4 linked regions of the Saccharomyces cerevisiae S288C genome follow. The protein of the gene in region 1 binds, or shares a complex with, the protein of each later gene. Each region holds a gene or a part of one and is shown in the gene's direction. Other genes may lie near its edges. The genes, in order: NUP100, NUP188, SEH1 and NUP49.

Region 1 (5,077 bases):
GGAAATGTTGAAAAAAGAGCCTAAAAATAGGCCTTATCGAACAACATTAAACTAATAATCTTCTGGATGCGATAGTCTTACTTGATAAAAATCATTGGCGATATTGTGTTACCTGGATTATCAAGCTCGCCACTAAAGGTGTCTGGATCCTTACTCAATACAAAGTCCAAGGAAAGGTGTGCCACAGGAAGAGGTAGCATCCCTTTATTTCTTTTCAAGGAAAGAAGCATTTTCAATCACATATGTATACAATAGTCTTCCGTGTGGCTGCACCGCACCACCTTGCAGGTCCCGTGTATGTAGGAGTCGCATGCGAATAAAAAATTGAGAAAGATCATGGGGTTTTTTGTTCACGCGGGCCGCAGTTGTGGCTCCTCTGTCACTTTTTTGCCCTCTGCTAAGGGCAAAAAAGAAAAAAAAACGCAACGAGAAAATTAAAAGTGTGGCATTTCGACATCTATCGCCATTCGTGCGGCCATTTCTCGAAACAACGCTAAACTTTTGTTTCGACTGTGAGGCCCTAGAACAGTTCGATTCTGATGTAGGCAATGGAAGAAACAATCATATATAACTACAGAACCTAATGTTACATGCTTGCATCTCTCAGCTCCCGCGAATTTTCAAGTGAGACTTAATGGTAGCCATCTAGTAACTCATAAATCAACGACATTATATATCATCAACTACAATGCAGGCAAACCATTCCGTCAGTTACCTTTACGAATCAAGTACTTCAAAGAGGTCAAATGGGCTCTTTTCTCAAACACAAAAGCAAGGAAGTTTTCAAAAAGCTTTAAGTCAAACTCAGGAAGAAATAGAAGATGAAGACCTGATGGTAGACCTCAACACAGGATCTTTAACTCCCGTTAAGTTAAAATATTGGACTCAAATGAGTGCTATGACGGAAAAATTTGGTAAACTGTGAGACCAATTTTGGCGGTAATTTCGTTTAGCTGTTTTATTTTCACATTTTTAATTGTCAATGCTGGAGGTTGTTAAAGTTTGGCTAGCTGTTCTGAACAATCCTTGTATACCGGTGAGACTTTTTGTTATAGATATTGGCGATATTCATTTTTTAGGAAGGTGTTTTTATAGATTTTTCAATTTTTTTTGTGTAGATGCATGTTTTGATTACTTATGCATAGTACGAATTTTTAGTTTATTAAGCTATAGAGGTTTTTTTTTTTTTCACCTCTTTACCACAAATTTAATAGCTATTGTGTAGAATAACTTTTAATGGAAAACATTTGCAGTATTTTAGTATTTTTCTACCTGTTTATTGCAAGTAAGGGCAGCATTATCCTGATAGGAGTAGAGGTTAACCGCACATCGGAATGAGACTTCTCCAAGAACGTTCTCAAAGTAAAACATTTAGCATTAGGAAATTTCTTTGGTCGATTATTAGACAAAGATTAGATTGTATTATGTTCTGATGCTTAGTTAGAACGGAAAGTGTTACCCATCTTGCAATCACCGTGACACCTTAAATATTTGCCGTAAGCGAAGAAAAAAAGCATGAAAAAAAAAAGCATATTTATGCTGAAGTCATCTACAAATGACCACCGCTTTTGGACCTGAAGAGGAGAAGAAAATAACATATCGTAGAACAGTCTTTGTTAACCAAAATATTTTAGCTTTGATTCCGGACTATTAGTACATTGAATTTTTTCAGGTACTAACAATGTTTGGCAACAATAGACCAATGTTTGGAGGGAGCAACCTTTCCTTTGGATCAAATACGTCATCCTTCGGTGGGCAACAATCGCAACAACCAAACTCTCTTTTTGGAAATAGCAATAACAACAACAATTCCACCAGTAACAATGCCCAATCAGGATTTGGTGGATTCACTTCTGCCGCTGGCAGTAATAGTAACAGTTTATTTGGAAATAACAATACTCAAAATAATGGGGCATTTGGCCAGTCAATGGGTGCCACCCAAAACTCACCATTTGGGTCGTTAAACTCCTCAAATGCCAGTAATGGGAACACTTTTGGAGGATCCAGTTCAATGGGTTCTTTTGGTGGTAATACCAATAATGCATTTAATAATAACAGTAACAGTACCAATTCCCCGTTTGGTTTCAATAAACCGAATACAGGAGGGACCTTGTTTGGTTCGCAGAATAATAATAGTGCAGGTACTTCTAGTTTATTTGGCGGCCAAAGTACAAGTACCACTGGCACATTCGGAAACACCGGAAGTAGTTTCGGAACAGGCTTAAATGGCAACGGCTCTAACATATTTGGGGCAGGGAACAACTCACAAAGCAATACTACCGGCAGCTTGTTTGGCAACCAACAATCTTCAGCGTTTGGGACAAATAATCAACAAGGAAGTCTATTTGGACAGCAATCTCAAAACACCAATAATGCGTTTGGTAATCAAAATCAGCTGGGGGGCAGTTCCTTCGGATCAAAACCAGTTGGTTCAGGGTCGCTGTTTGGCCAGAGCAACAACACTTTAGGTAATACAACCAATAATAGAAATGGATTGTTTGGTCAAATGAATTCCAGTAACCAAGGCAGTTCTAACAGTGGATTGTTTGGACAAAACTCGATGAACAGCAGCACTCAAGGGGTATTTGGACAAAACAATAATCAAATGCAAATTAATGGCAATAACAACAACAGTTTATTTGGAAAGGCAAACACCTTTTCAAATTCCGCATCAGGAGGTTTATTTGGCCAAAATAATCAACAGCAAGGGTCCGGGCTGTTTGGTCAAAATTCTCAGACAAGCGGTAGTAGTGGACTTTTTGGGCAGAATAATCAGAAACAGCCCAATACTTTTACCCAATCTAATACAGGAATAGGTCTCTTTGGACAGAACAACAACCAGCAACAACAATCTACAGGTTTGTTTGGAGCCAAACCAGCAGGTACCACAGGATCTCTTTTCGGTGGTAATTCATCAACCCAGCCTAACTCTCTTTTCGGTACTACCAATGTACCTACCTCTAATACACAGTCACAACAAGGAAATAGTCTTTTTGGTGCCACGAAGCTGACCAACATGCCCTTTGGAGGAAATCCCACTGCAAACCAGTCAGGGAGTGGAAACAGTCTATTCGGAACTAAACCTGCCTCCACTACCGGCTCATTATTTGGAAACAACACAGCTTCTACGACAGTACCTTCCACGAATGGATTGTTTGGTAACAACGCTAACAATTCAACTAGCACTACGAATACGGGACTTTTCGGTGCAAAGCCTGATTCTCAGTCCAAACCTGCATTAGGGGGAGGGTTATTCGGCAATTCAAACTCGAATTCTTCCACAATCGGCCAAAACAAACCAGTTTTTGGAGGCACAACCCAAAATACAGGACTCTTTGGCGCCACCGGCACGAACTCTTCAGCAGTTGGTTCAACTGGTAAACTTTTTGGCCAGAATAATAATACGCTTAATGTTGGTACACAAAATGTACCACCTGTGAACAATACCACCCAAAACGCCCTTTTGGGTACAACGGCAGTTCCTTCCCTACAACAAGCCCCAGTAACTAATGAACAGCTTTTTTCCAAAATATCAATCCCTAACTCTATTACAAATCCAGTTAAAGCAACAACTTCAAAAGTGAACGCAGATATGAAAAGAAATAGTAGCCTCACGTCTGCCTATAGACTTGCCCCAAAGCCGTTATTTGCTCCCTCTTCGAATGGCGATGCTAAATTTCAAAAGTGGGGCAAGACACTGGAAAGAAGTGATAGAGGAAGCAGTACCAGCAATTCTATTACGGACCCAGAATCAAGCTATCTAAATTCAAACGACTTGTTGTTTGATCCAGATAGAAGATATTTGAAACATCTGGTGATTAAAAATAATAAGAACTTAAATGTCATTAACCATAATGATGATGAAGCAAGCAAAGTTAAATTAGTGACGTTTACAACAGAATCAGCTTCAAAAGATGACCAAGCCTCATCAAGCATTGCTGCTTCAAAATTAACTGAAAAAGCACATTCTCCTCAGACTGACCTAAAAGATGATCATGATGAAAGCACTCCTGATCCTCAATCGAAATCTCCAAATGGTTCCACCTCTATACCAATGATTGAGAATGAAAAGATTAGCAGCAAAGTTCCCGGCCTATTGAGCAACGACGTTACCTTTTTCAAGAATAACTACTACATTTCACCTTCCATAGAAACGCTTGGCAATAAGTCATTAATTGAACTTCGTAAAATAAACAACCTAGTCATTGGTCACAGAAATTATGGTAAAGTCGAGTTTCTGGAGCCCGTTGATTTGTTGAATACTCCTTTGGATACTTTATGCGGGGATCTTGTCACCTTTGGACCAAAATCATGTTCAATATATGAAAACTGTTCCATAAAGCCAGAAAAGGGCGAAGGCATTAATGTACGTTGTAGAGTGACTTTATATTCCTGTTTTCCTATTGACAAAGAAACAAGGAAACCTATAAAGAATATAACACATCCTCTACTGAAAAGAAGTATAGCCAAACTAAAAGAAAACCCAGTGTACAAGTTTGAAAGCTATGACCCCGTAACAGGCACCTATAGTTACACCATAGATCACCCAGTTTTAACTTAAACCGGAATAATTTTTGTAGAGAATCCTTGTATCGTCTAAGTAGTCTAGATGTTCAGCTGATAGATTTTCGTTGTATTGTATATATAATAATTGTCGGAAAACAAAAATACTTAATTGTAATTGTGTGACCGAAAATGCCTGATCAACAGCCATGGCACATTTGAATGGGATTTTGAGGAGACAAAAATGAAGAGGTTCTATAACCTTTGTAGAAGAACATTGACCTCTTTTCAATGAAGGTTGGTGGCATCGCCAGATGCAGAAAGGTTGTCTCATGAAATAAAAACGGACAGACCATGAAGGCTAAAGGAAAAAAATAAAATGCCATCTCCTAGAATCGAACCAGGGTTTCATCGGCCACAACGATGTGTACTAACCACTATACTAAGATGGCAAACAACTGTGAAGTTTTTGGTTACATCTGCACATCTGGTTGAATAAATATTATGTACTCTTTGCTTTTTTATGTTAAACCTACAAGTGGTGACTGTAAAGAAGCATTACAACGTAGAACTG
Region 2 (7,230 bases), on another chromosome or scaffold:
CACACTCTTCTGGCACGTTTCGTAAAATACGGGCGAGAAAGCCGCCATCAGCGCTGGTTTCTTCAAAGATGGGATTCTAATCGCAGGCCGGTTTTTAACGCCACCAGCGCTGTTCAGTATTCCAGATCTAGTATACACGTATACGCAGTTCGCGACTTCATCACCAGCCACCTTATACACACCACTGGGAATTACGACCAAACCACCACAAGGCGATATGCTGCATCGCCTAAAGAATGAAGGTAGCGTCTCGTTGTGAAAAAGGTAATTTGTCCTCAGGACATCACCTGGACAAGGCAGTTCTGCCTTGGCAATCTTACTTCTAAGTTTCAGCCCTGTAACCACTCCTGCAGATGAAAGAATGACTCCATATACATGCAGAGACCGGTCCGCAGACTGTGAGAGAATAAACTGATTTAATGGGTCCCATGCAACACCTTGGACGTAGTGACCATGATCCGACTGGCCGCATACCAGCATCCCAGCTCCAACATCGAACAGTCGTATCGAATTGTCCATACATGCCACCACTATGTTCCTGTTATCAGGTGACCACGCTAGATCGTAAATCTCTGCCGCCGCAGTAGCACCGCTACCACCACGCAGCCGTTTCCACACAACCCATTTCTCCTTGTTCTCGTCTGCTTCACTAGTCTCCGCATCCATTCCGAATGGTCTGACCACAGATTCTTGCTGTGTATTTGGATCTTCTTGCTTCCATAGCAGCACTTGGCCGTCATCGCCCGCAGACGCCAGTACGTCACCCTTCGAGTTGAATCGGATTACATTTATGGCCTGTTCGTGATGCGTCAGCGAGCCAAGAAAGTCAAGGCTTTCAATCTTACGCACCCCCCCATTTTGTCCGTTTTCATCTCTGTTCAACTTCCATATCCTAACCTTGTTATCACCACCAGCGGTGAAAAGCTTGTCGTTCGCACTGTTCTTTTGGAATGTGAGCGAGTAAACGGGTTGTGAATCATGCCAGTAGATTTGCAAATGTGAAGCTTCCATTGTCCTGCCCCTTTGCTCTAAGCTTTTCTGCCTCCTTCTTTTAAATTCTGATACGTACTATAACGCTATAATAATAGCCCATCAGTTAGACAGCGAGTTAACTAACGTGTTCGCCGGGCAACCCAAGGAAATAAGGCGTCCTTTTCACATTTTCATATTTTTTCAAATTTTTTTCAATTCTAATTTTCCTTTTTCTCCCCCACCGTCTATAAAAGCTAGTAGTTTTCTACTTTTCACCACAGAAATCTATTCCTTCGATAACAGTCCCTAAATAAAAACACGACAAAAAGGCCCCACGCAAGCATGTGCAGCAACGGACAGGCGTCGTGCGCACAAACTTGCTCAGGGGCCCGAATACTAGCACATATGTCAAATTCCTAATTAACGTTTTTTATATTCATCGTTTCTTAGAGCCGTAATTGTGCTGATATCAATATCAGGGAAGAACATACCATATAGAGGTGTCAAGTACACCGAACGATCGTGGTGCTCCCTCAGCCACGGGCGTGCTTGGACGCTATTCCCACATATATACGCAAACAATCTATGTCTTCTCCCTCCTTGCCAGAAAGCCGGCTCCTGCTTGTAGTTAAGGTATATATGTATATATTCCGGGTAAGAATATTTTGTAATACCAAAAATTTTCTTCTTGAAATGAATACTTTGAGACATCTTTAATATTCGAACAGAAACACAAATAAAGAGATAACCCTTTCCACCGCTAAAAAAAGGACCCCATCAGCCATGGCTACACCTTCATTTGGCAATTCCTCTCCACAATTGACCTTCACTCATGTTGCTAATTTTATGAACGATGCTGCTGCTGATGTATCCGCTGTGGATGCCAAGCAATTGGCCCAAATAAGACAGTTTTTGAAAGCTAACAAGACAAATCTTATCGAGAGTCTGAACACAATAAGGCAGAATGTAACTTCTTCCGGCGATCATAACAAGTTACGCTCTACAATTGCAAACTTATTGCAAATAAACGTCGATAATGATCCATTCTTTGCTCAATCTGAGGACCTTTCTCATGCTGTAGAATTCTTTATGTCTGAGAGATCATCTAGACTTCATATAGTATACTCACTTCTCGTTAACCCTGACATCGACCTCGAGACATATTCATTTATTGACAACGATAGATTCAATGTAGTGGGGAAATTGATTTCTATAATATCATCTGTAATCCAGAACTACGACATTATTACAGCTTCATCTTTAGCACATGATTATAATAACGATCAAGACATGTTCACAATTGTCTCATTGGTGCAGTTAAAAAAATTTTCTGATTTGAAGTTTATCTTGCAGATATTACAAATTTTGAATTTAATGATCCTCAACACAAAAGTACCAGTAGATATCGTCAATCAATGGTTTCTACAGTATCAAAATCAATTTGTTGAATTTTGCAGAAATATAAATTCAACAGACAAGAGTATAGATACCTCGTCACTACAATTGTACAAGTTTCAGAATTTCCAAGACCTCAGTTACCTCTCAGAAACGCTTATTTCCAGGATTTCATCTTTATTTACTATCACAACTATATTGATACTTGGACTGAACACTTCAATCGCGCAATTTGATATTCAGTCACCTTTGTACATGGATACAGAAACTTTCGACACCGTCAATAGCGCTCTAGAGAATGATGTAGCAACCAATATCGTCAACGAGGACCCCATTTTCCATCCAATGATTCATTACTCCTGGTCATTTATACTTTATTATAGGCGAGCATTACAATCGTCGGAATCATTTGATGATTCAGACATAACGAAATTTGCTCTGTTTGCTGAATCACATGATGTTCTTCAAAAATTGAATACTCTCTCAGAAATTCTATCCTTTGATCCTGTTTACACCACAGTAATAACAGTATTTTTGGAGTTTTCTTTAAATTTTATTCCTATAACTGCATCTACTTCCCGGGTTTTCGCCAAGATAATTTCAAAGGCACCAGAGCAGTTCATTGAGAATTTCTTAACTAATGACACTTTTGAGAAAAAATTGAGCATCATAAAGGCTAAATTGCCCCTATTGAACGAATCACTGATCCCGCTAATTAATTTAGCCTTAATTGATACCGAGTTTGCCAATTTTGAATTAAAAGATATATGTTCATTTGCTGTTACCAAAAGTAGTTTGAACGATTTGGATTATGACTTAATTGCTGATACAATAACAAACTCTTCTTCATCCTCCGATATTATAGTGCCTGATTTGATAGAGTTGAAGTCTGATTTACTAGTGGCGCCACCCTTAGAAAACGAAAACTCTAATTGTCTCTTGTCAATACCAAAATCAACAAAGGGAAAAATTCTTACTATCAAACAACAACAACAACAACAACAACAACAGAATGGACAACAGCCGCCAACTACTTCCAATTTGATTATTTTCCTTTACAAATTCAATGGTTGGTCTTTGGTGGGTAGAATATTGCAAAATCTATTACATTCATATATGGAAAAGGGTACACAACTGGATGACTTACAACATGAATTGATGATATCCATAATAAAGTTAGTCACTAACGTTGTCGATCCGAAAACCTCGATCGAGAAATCTAGTGAAATTCTGTCATATTTATCAAATTCTCTGGATACTTCAGCCAGCACCATAAATGGAGCGTCGATTATCCAAGTAATTTTCGAGATTTTTGAAATATCACTACAAAGAAAAGATTATACCTCAATTGTACAATGTTGTGAATTTATGACTATGCTGACACCGAATTACCTTCATCTTGTTTCTTCTTACTTGAACAAATCGGATTTGTTAGACAAATATGGTAAGACTGGTCTTTCCAATATGATACTCGGTTCGGTTGAATTATCTACGGGGGATTACACATTCACTATCCAATTGCTTAAGCTAACAAAAGTCTTTATTCGAGAATCTCTCTCATTGAAAAATATCCATATTTCCAAGAGAAGTAAAATTGATATTATTAATAAGTTGATTCTACATGCAATTCATATCTTTGAGAGTTATTACAACTGGAAGTACAACAACTTCTTACAAAAATTCGAAATTGCCTTCCATTTGACATTAATTTTTTATGATGTACTTCATGACGTTTTCACCATAAATCCACATCAAAAGGATCAGTTAATCATTTCCTCGTCAGCAAACAAATTGTTGCAGTTATTTTTGACTCCCATGGATTCCATTGATTTGGCTCCAAATACTTTGACGAATATTCTGATTTCACCATTGAATACCACAACAAAAATTTTAGGCGACAAAATTTTGGGTAATTTATATAGCAAGGTAATGAATAACTCCTTCAAGCTGTGCACGCTTTTGATCGCTATTCGAGGTAGCAATCGTGATTTAAAGCCAAGCAACCTGGAAAAATTGCTTTTCATAAATTCATCAAAATTGGTTGACGTTTATACCCTACCAAGTTATGTTCATTTCAAAGTGCAGATCATAGAGTTGTTAAGCTATTTAGTAGAGGCTCCTTGGAATGACGACTATCCATTTCTGTTATCTTTCCTTGGTGAAGCAAAGTCAATGGCATTTTTGAAAGAAGTCCTGTCGGACCTGAGCTCTCCAGTGCAAGATTGGAACCTTCTCCGAAGTTTGTACATTTTTTTTACTACCCTATTAGAAAGTAAACAAGATGGGTTATCTATCCTCTTCTTAACAGGTCAATTTGCCTCCAATAAAAAAATTAATGACGAATCCTCCATAGACAAAAAGAGTTCTATATTAACTGTTTTGCAAAAGAATTCTTTACTATTAGATTCAACGCCTGAAGAAGTAAGTTGCAAGTTATTAGAAACGATAACATATGTTTTAAACACTTGGACAAATTCTAAAATATTCATAAAAGATCCTAAATTTGTGAATTCCTTATTGGCTAAGTTGAAGGACTCAAAAAAATTATTTCAGAAAAAGGAAAATTTGACTCGTGACGAAACTGTTTCTTTGATTAAGAAATACAAATTGATCTCAAGGATTGTAGAAATATTTGCGTTGTGTATTTACAACTCCACTGATTCAAACTCGGAAATTTTAAATTTTTTGAATCAGGAAGACTTGTTTGAATTAGTTCATCATTTCTTCCAAATTGATGGGTTCAATAAAACTTTTCATGATGAATTAAACTTAAAATTTAAAGAGAAATGGCCCAGTTTAGAGCTTCAGTCGTTCCAAAAAATTCCATTATCCAGAATAAACGAAAATGAGAATTTCGGTTATGATATTCCGTTATTAGATATAGTTTTAAAAGCTGACCGTAGTTGGAACGAACCAAGTAAGAGTCAGACAAATTTTAAGGAGGAAATAACAGACGCTTCATTAAATTTGCAGTATGTCAATTACGAAATATCTACCGCAAAAGCATGGGGCGCACTAATCACCACGTTTGTGAAGAGGAGCACTGTTCCGTTAAATGATGGTTTTGTCGACTTGGTAGAGCATTTCCTCAAGTTAAATATTGATTTTGGTTCAGATAAACAAATGTTTACCCAAATATATCTGGAAAGAATTGAGTTGTCGTTTTACATTTTATATTCGTTCAAGTTGTCGGGAAAATTGTTGAAGGAAGAAAAGATAATTGAATTGATGAACAAGATTTTTACAATTTTCAAATCTGGTGAGATTGACTTTATTAAAAATATTGGTAAGTCACTAAAAAATAACTTTTATAGACCTCTTTTGAGATCTGTCTTAGTTCTTCTCGAGTTAGTCTCGTCAGGAGATCGTTTTATCGAATTAATATCTGATCAACTACTGGAATTTTTTGAATTAGTGTTTAGTAAGGGTGTTTATTTGATACTGTCTGAGATATTATGTCAGATCAATAAATGCTCCACGAGGGGTTTAAGCACCGATCACACCACCCAAATTGTCAACTTGGAGGATAATACTCAGGATTTATTGTTATTATTATCACTCTTCAAGAAGATCACCAATGTGAATCCCTCTAAAAACTTCAATGTTATTCTAGCATCATCCCTAAACGAAGTAGGAACTTTGAAAGTTATACTGAACCTATATTCAAGCGCGCATTTGATAAGGATTAACGATGAACCAATTCTTGGGCAAATTACTCTGACCTTTATCTCCGAATTGTGTTCTATTGAGCCAATTGCTGCAAAACTCATCAACAGTGGATTGTATAGCGTTCTATTGGAAAGTCCACTATCTGTTGCAATACAGCAAGGTGATATAAAACCTGAATTTTCGCCTAGATTGCACAACATTTGGAGCAATGGTTTGTTATCCATTGTTCTACTACTATTAAGTCAGTTCGGTATCAAGGTTTTACCTGAGACGTGCCTATTTGTTTCATATTTTGGAAAACAAATAAAATCTACAATATATAACTGGGGTGACAACAAGTTAGCAGTGTCAAGTTCGTTGATAAAGGAAACGAATCAATTGGTTTTATTGCAAAAAATGCTAAACTTGCTAAATTACCAAGAATTGTTTATTCAGCCTAAAAACTCTGATGATCAACAAGAAGCTGTAGAATTGGTTATTGGTCTAGATTCTGAACATGATAAAAAAAGGTTAAGCGCTGCATTAAGCAAGTTTCTAACACATCCAAAATACTTGAATTCAAGAATAATACCTACAACTTTAGAAGAGCAACAGCAGTTGGAGGATGAATCAAGCAGATTGGAGTTCGTCAAGGGTATCAGCAGAGACATTAAAGCATTACAAGATTCACTATTTAAGGACGTTTAACTTATTTTGCAGGTTATGTAAAGCTACATAATATAATAATGAACAGTGCAAGTGCAAGGGTGGCCCTTTGTTGCTATACTGCGGACTGCGACTGTATGAGCTTTTTCCATCCCAGTTCTATCCATTGTGTACTTTTTTTTTTCATCGCCTTACGAACTTCAAAAATATGTAAACAATAAGATAAGTAAATTAACCGAAGACTCTCATGCTTTGAAAGCGCCATAAGTGCGCGTGTTTGTGCCTTCTGATATGATATCGTATGCCTAAGTTTCCACAGTTTCGATTGATTTTAGTTTTGTTTTACTTAATATCAATGATACAATGGTCGGTAATCACTTTTTCGCTGGGGTTCTTTCTTAATGTCTGCATCTTTGCGTACTTCGTATTCTTCAAATCCTTGCCTGATTTACCGAAACCTCAGCCAAGATTTGTTGATATCGTACCGGAAAGTTCGAATACTGTGGATGTTGATAAAGAATTGAAGTCTGTCGAGGGTTTAATACAAGA
Region 3 (3,360 bases), on another chromosome or scaffold:
TGTTTTACTAACGATTTAAAAATTGTATTTCATTACAATATTTTTTTTGTACAGCCGGTAAAGGTCGTATCGGTAAGCACAGAAAGCACCCCGGTGGTAGAGGTATGGCCGGTGGTCAACATCACCACAGAATTAACATGGATAAATACCATCCAGGTTATTTCGGTAAGGTTGGTATGAGATACTTCCACAAGCAACAAGCTCATTTCTGGAAGCCAGTCTTGAACTTGGACAAATTGTGGACATTGATCCCAGAAGACAAGAGAGACCAATACTTGAAATCTGCTTCTAAGGAAACTGCTCCAGTTATTGACACTTTGGCAGCCGGTTACGGTAAGATCTTGGGTAAGGGTAGAATTCCAAATGTTCCAGTTATCGTCAAAGCTAGATTCGTCTCCAAGTTGGCTGAAGAAAAAATCAGAGCTGCTGGTGGTGTTGTTGAATTGATCGCTTAAGCGCATCAACAAAAACTCTATGTATTTTCCAATAAATTATATATCTTCAGTTTAATCTAATTCAACATCTACTTCTGTATTATTTCTATCACCCATTTTCACCGTTTTTTCGTCTTGTCTATTTTGAAGTTACCAGTGGCAGATCCCAACGCTTTTATCGCTTTTTTAAAAGATTTTCAAAATCCATATATAAACATAGGGTCCAAAAAGAAAACAAATAACAAAACAAGAAAACCTATTCGAGGTAAAGACCAGGAAAAACAAAATGACTGCAGTTAACATCTGGAAGCCAGAAGATAATATACCTAGGGAGATTTTGGCAATTCTTTCGAAACCTCACCCAAATTATCAGTTAGCGTTTTTGAATATTATACAACTTTTGAAAACGCAAAGAAGAACTGGTTGGGTTGACCATGGTATTGACCCATGCGAAAGTATATCTGACCATATGTACAGAATGGGTTTAACTACCATGCTGATTACGGACAAGAATGTTGATCGTAACAAATGTATCAGAATCGCACTTGTTCACGATTTTGCGGAGTCATTAGTTGGTGATATTACACCTAATGACCCAATGACAAAGGAAGAGAAACATCGCAGAGAATTTGAAACTGTCAAGTATCTCTGTGAAAGCATAATAAGGCCCTGCAGTGAAAGCGCATCTAGGGAAATTCTTGATGACTGGTTAGCATACGAAAAGCAGACCTGTTTGGAAGGAAGATATGTCAAAGATATTGATAAGTATGAAATGTTGGTTCAATGTTTTGAGTACGAACAAAAGTATAATGGCAAGAAGGATTTGAAACAATTTTTGGGAGCCATCAATGATATAAAAACTGATGAAGTTAAAAAATGGACACAATCTTTACTGGAAGATCGACAAGCCTTTTTCGACAGTTTGAAGGAGTAATAATGTGGCCTTTTGAAAGAAAAGTTAGTGCTTTTTTTTCTTTTCTCAAACCTTCACCTGGTGGTGCGTATCATTTATAATAACATCTTGATGCTTTTCAACGAGATAGTGCCCATTTTATTTTGCATGTATTATACTTCCAGCACCCGGTGTGCATTATATGTAACTTTAGAAATAATCTTTTGTATATTATTCGCGATTGAATGTGCGTGCTGCATTATCAACCAAGTTTTAATATATCTGTTTCTCTTATTTATTGTTAGTTAAGTCTTCGGCAAAACGATGGAAAAAATCATGAACTGAATAGAGACAAGTAAACCAAATTATAAACAAGGTTTCCCTTCTGAAGAGATACTAAGGAAGAAGAAGAACGACCCAATAATATTTCTGAATATGCAACCATTTGATAGTGGGCATGATGATTTAGTTCATGATGTCGTTTATGACTTTTACGGAAGACATGTGGCAACATGCTCTTCTGATCAACATATTAAAGTTTTTAAATTAGACAAGGACACGAGTAATTGGGAACTCAGTGACTCATGGAGAGCTCACGACAGTAGTATCGTGGCCATTGATTGGGCCAGTCCAGAATATGGGCGCATCATTGCTTCAGCCTCTTACGATAAGACGGTAAAATTATGGGAAGAAGATCCCGACCAAGAAGAATGCTCTGGCCGTCGTTGGAACAAGCTGTGTACCCTGAATGATTCCAAAGGATCACTTTATAGTGTAAAATTTGCGCCAGCGCATTTGGGCTTAAAATTAGCTTGTTTGGGTAACGATGGAATCCTCAGACTTTATGATGCCTTAGAACCTTCTGACCTAAGGTCATGGACACTGACTTCTGAGATGAAAGTGCTATCTATACCACCAGCAAATCATTTACAGTCTGATTTTTGTCTCTCTTGGTGTCCTTCGAGATTTTCTCCTGAAAAGCTCGCAGTCTCTGCATTGGAACAAGCGATTATATACCAAAGGGGTAAAGACGGTAAACTTCACGTTGCAGCAAAACTTCCCGGTCATAAAAGTTTAATAAGAAGTATCAGCTGGGCTCCTTCCATTGGTAGATGGTATCAACTCATTGCAACAGGTTGCAAAGATGGTAGAATTAGAATTTTCAAAATCACAGAAAAACTAAGTCCCCTGGCCTCAGAGGAGTCTTTAACTAACTCAAATATGTTTGATAATAGTGCTGATGTTGACATGGATGCACAGGGCAGATCAGACTCAAATACCGAAGAGAAAGCTGAGCTACAATCAAACTTGCAAGTTGAACTTCTAAGCGAGCATGATGACCATAATGGCGAAGTTTGGTCCGTGTCTTGGAATTTAACGGGTACAATCTTAAGCAGTGCTGGGGATGATGGGAAGGTACGTTTATGGAAAGCCACTTATTCAAATGAATTTAAGTGTATGTCAGTAATTACTGCCCAACAATAAATAAGAATATATGTATACATAACATTATATATTGGTACTTTATACGTGTGCATTATTCTGTATAATACGAGGCAACAGATGAATCAAGAAAGATGATGCTTTTAAAAAGCTCTTACAAATATAATGATATTACATCAAATGATATTATTATTCTTGATATTGGGTATTCTTTCGAATTATATCAAGCTTCCCTTCCCTCGCCTTTTCGCCTGGAAATTTTTCAATGCCGAGATTAAAAAATTTGTCAATGAAAATGCATTCTACTACTTAATAAAGAGGTGATGAGCTTATAAGCCAACTTCTTTTAAACACAAAACTAAATCTGATATTGAGGACCCCCACCAACTATGCCACCAAAAGAAGCTCCCAAGAAATGGAAGGCGCCAAAAGGGCCAAAACCTACCCACCGTAAAAATAAAAATAAGCTTGAATTAGGCAGAGCTATTAAATATGCACGTCAAAAAGAAAATGCCATCGAGTATTTACCTGATGGTGAAATGAGGTTCACTACCGATAAGCATGAGGCCAACTGGGTTAAATTAAGATCTG
Region 4 (3,484 bases), on another chromosome or scaffold:
GGGAAATGCTCCTTTGTTAAGGTGCAAATCTGGCAAATTGGGCAAGAAATCATTACCAATGACGAACATGACAAGAATAAAATCATCCAAAATACGTTCAAAATTGTATTCAAATTGCATTTCATCGGCAATTTCTTTGAATTCCAACTCCATGTATTCTCTTAATAAAGAAAGATGTAATAAGTAGAAATTTTGATGTTCAAGCGATTTTTTTTCACTATTTCTTCTACCAAATGTCACTTCTTCTCTCAATAACGCAAAATGTGGCCCATGAGTAGACAAACCCAGCATAATCAAATCTGCGTCAAGACCGTAAATACAATGTCTCGTATTCTGGTTGAAATCCTTTTGGGATTTTAAATGCCTTATAAAGTTCATGATCTTGTGTTCACCTTCACCTGGAACTTCATGGCCAGAAAATATGATTTGCACTTCCCTCCATTTGGAATCGTTAGAAATCTTGTCGTGAATAAAATATTGTAAGTTTTTGGTCAATTTGGCCATAAACTCCGTACCTGGAGTAATAGAATTCGAATCAAATGGCTCACCCTTAGGAATCTCGTCACCATTCTCAATAGCCTTCTTCAAGGCTTTTTCTGCATCCATAGCGGTTCTGAATCTACGAGCTCTTTGTTGATTCATCTTGGCACGAGGGGCCACACCATCAATAGCCATGTAGAAAATCTTCTTGGGCTTGATTGTTTGAAAAAGGTGATCGATATACGTACAGATTTTTGCAAAAACCTCTTCTTCAGTTAATCGCTTGGTTACATCATCGTCGTTACCATGCGTACAATTATGTAAAATCGAATTCATATCCAGGTATAAGTTATCAAACTCAGGAATCTGTGTTCCCTCAATAAGCTGTAAAATCATGGGCCATCTTTCTGAGATGTACCTGAAAAATTTTGGAATACCCATACCGTACTGATATATATTTGTTGCTGCTGTTGTTACAAGTGTTGATTTTTTTTCTCCTTATAGTACACGAATCGTCCTAGGATTAGTCAATTGCTTATTGTGAACCCGATTATAAGTACGGAAGAAGACAGTATCCTTTAGAAAATAAACTATTAACAGGAACGGAAATAAAAGGCAGAGAGAAAATAATAAAAGAATCGGTTCGCTTGTGCGAACGCCAAACAGATTTTATAATAACGGAAGAGCTGCTGAAAAAAAAAGCAAGCTGCAACTGTTATATTTGCGTAGATAAACTTTACAACCGGTAATTGGAAGTCGTAAGTACTTAGTTTGACGTTTTCAGTACTCGTTAAACTACTCCTTAAATTGCTTTCTAACCTCTTCTTGTTTGTCTCTGTTGTTACTTGCTCTGCGGTGGCGAAAAGACGAGCAAAGGAGGTTGTATATATCACTCAACACGGAATGTATTACAGCTTTCTCAAATAAATGTAGTTGAAAAAGACCATTAATCGTGAGAATAGTTACTGATCAGGTGATGAGACGATAAAAACAGTAATTGAGAGGGTTTTCACGGGTAGTGGGCACAATGTTTGGATTAAATAAAGCATCTTCGACACCTGCAGGTGGGCTCTTTGGTCAGGCCAGCGGAGCTAGCACTGGAAACGCGAATACTGGGTTTTCGTTTGGTGGGACTCAAACTGGACAAAACACCGGCCCAAGTACAGGTGGACTATTTGGCGCTAAACCAGCCGGATCTACAGGAGGATTAGGTGCATCATTTGGTCAGCAGCAACAACAATCTCAGACAAATGCATTTGGAGGAAGCGCCACCACCGGAGGGGGCCTTTTCGGTAACAAACCTAACAATACGGCGAACACTGGGGGCGGGTTATTTGGCGCTAATTCGAACAGTAATTCTGGCAGTTTGTTTGGTTCCAACAATGCACAGACGAGTCGTGGTTTGTTTGGTAATAATAACACTAATAATATCAATAATAGTAGTAGTGGCATGAATAATGCAAGCGCTGGACTATTTGGCTCTAAACCTGCAGGAGGCACTTCTTTGTTCGGTAATACAAGCACCTCTTCGGCCCCTGCGCAGAACCAGGGCATGTTTGGTGCAAAACCAGCTGGTACATCTCTATTCGGCAATAATGCAGGTAATACGACCACTGGTGGAGGGTTATTTGGCTCCAAACCGACAGGAGCAACGTCTTTGTTTGGTTCATCAAATAACAACAACAATAACAATAATAGTAACAACATCATGAGTGCGTCAGGCGGGCTATTTGGTAATCAGCAGCAGCAACTGCAGCAACAACCACAAATGCAGTGCGCATTGCAAAATCTATCTCAGCTCCCTATTACCCCAATGACACGGATTTCCGAATTACCACCTCAAATACGTCAAGAAATTGAACAACTAGATCAATATATTCAAAAACAAGTGCAGATCTCGCACCATTTGAAGGCCGATACAATCGATCATGATGAATTGATAGATTCCATTCCTCGTGATGTTGCATACCTACTGAAGTCAGAATCTGCAACAAGTCAATATTTAAAGCAAGATTTGAAGAAAATATCCTCATTTAAATCGCTAATCGATGAGGACCTTCTAGACACGCAAACTTTTTCGGTGCTCTTACAGCAACTATTAACTCCGGGAAGCAAAATTTCTTCTAATGACTTAGACAAATTCTTTCAAAAGAAAATTCATCTCTACGAGAAGAAGTTAGAGGATTACTGCCGTATTCTCTCTGATATAGAAACTGCGGTAAATGGCATTGATACAGATTTATTTGGCGCCCCAAATAACCCTAATTCTACAGCTATCACAGCAGATCTAGGTTCATCCGAAGCAGAGAACCTACTGCAGTTGAAGACAGGCTTAGCTGCCATAGTCTCTACTGTCATTGAGGAATTCACACTGTTTATGGATATCGCTGAGAGAATCGCCGTGTTACATCAAAAAACGAAAACACTGGCATCATTGAGCATATGAGTAAATCGCCCTGAAAGTTTATATAGTGCGTATAACAAGTACAAATGTCTTGTACAAATGTAATTTATACTAAATGCAATAGAATATAACATCAATCACAGTTTTTCAGTCACCATAATGGCGTCTTAGAGGCCGAACTAACTTTTCTTCGTGAAAAATTTTTTGCGATGAGATGGGAAGGAAAAAAAGTAATATTGACATCTTCAATTGAGAGATATTACCTGCAAAAAGGTACATACGATAGTAGAAGTTATCGAACAGGCAAGCCACCATGGATATTTTTAGAGTATTAACTAGAGGAGCTTCCGTGAAGAAAGAGTCAGGCCCAAAGGCTAAGGCAGCAGATTACAGCGTTATAAATGGAAATGATGAGAATCATAAGGAAGATAATAATGAAAGCCAGATCGTGAAAGAACTTGATTTCTTTCGAAACAAGAGAATCATTAGCAAGGTAGAGGATGATAGAGAGAAGACAACCGAAAACGATTCTCCAAACAAAGAGGAGAAGAGCGGCAATGATGATGGTCTGATAAAACCAGTGATTACCAATACCGTTGA

Evidence for each region.
Region 2: NUP100 (region 1) and NUP188 share a complex: the UniProt entries of both Saccharomyces cerevisiae proteins name them as parts of the nuclear pore complex.
Region 3: NUP100 (region 1) and SEH1 share a complex: the UniProt entries of both Saccharomyces cerevisiae proteins name them as parts of the nuclear pore complex.
Region 4: NUP100 (region 1) and NUP49 share a complex: the UniProt entries of both Saccharomyces cerevisiae proteins name them as parts of the nuclear pore complex.

The regions. Positions count from the first base shown.
Region 1 is NC_001143.9:308,518-313,594, forward strand, and holds NUP100 (FG-nucleoporin NUP100), read left to right. Parts: upstream 1-1,681; coding exon 1,682-4,561; downstream 4,562-5,077. Other genes in the region: YKL068W-A (uncharacterized protein), read left to right, coding at 689-925. UniProt on the Saccharomyces cerevisiae protein: Functions as a component of the nuclear pore complex (NPC).
Region 2 is NC_001145.3:62,075-69,304, reverse strand, and holds NUP188 (Nup188p), read left to right. Parts: upstream 1-1,755; coding exon 1,756-6,723; downstream 6,724-7,230. Other genes in the region: CAC2 (Cac2p), read right to left, coding at 1-1,011; MDM1 (Mdm1p), read left to right, coding at 6,983-7,230. UniProt on the Saccharomyces cerevisiae protein: Functions as a component of the nuclear pore complex (NPC).
Region 3 is NC_001139.9:311,473-314,832, forward strand, and holds SEH1 (Seh1p), read left to right. Parts: upstream 1-1,761; coding exon 1,762-2,811; downstream 2,812-3,360. Other genes in the region: 60S ribosomal protein uL15 RPL28, read left to right, coding at 55-455; YGK1 (5'-deoxynucleotidase), read left to right, coding at 721-1,368; ribosome biogenesis GTPase LSG1, read left to right, coding at 3,159-3,360. UniProt on the Saccharomyces cerevisiae protein: Functions as a component of the nuclear pore complex (NPC).
Region 4 is NC_001139.9:179,193-182,676, forward strand, and holds NUP49 (FG-nucleoporin NUP49), read left to right. Parts: upstream 1-1,507; coding exon 1,508-2,926; downstream 2,927-3,484. Other genes in the region: chromatin-binding exonuclease XRN1, read right to left, coding at 1-921; RNA-dependent ATPase ROK1, read left to right, coding at 3,198-3,484. UniProt on the Saccharomyces cerevisiae protein: Functions as a component of the nuclear pore complex (NPC).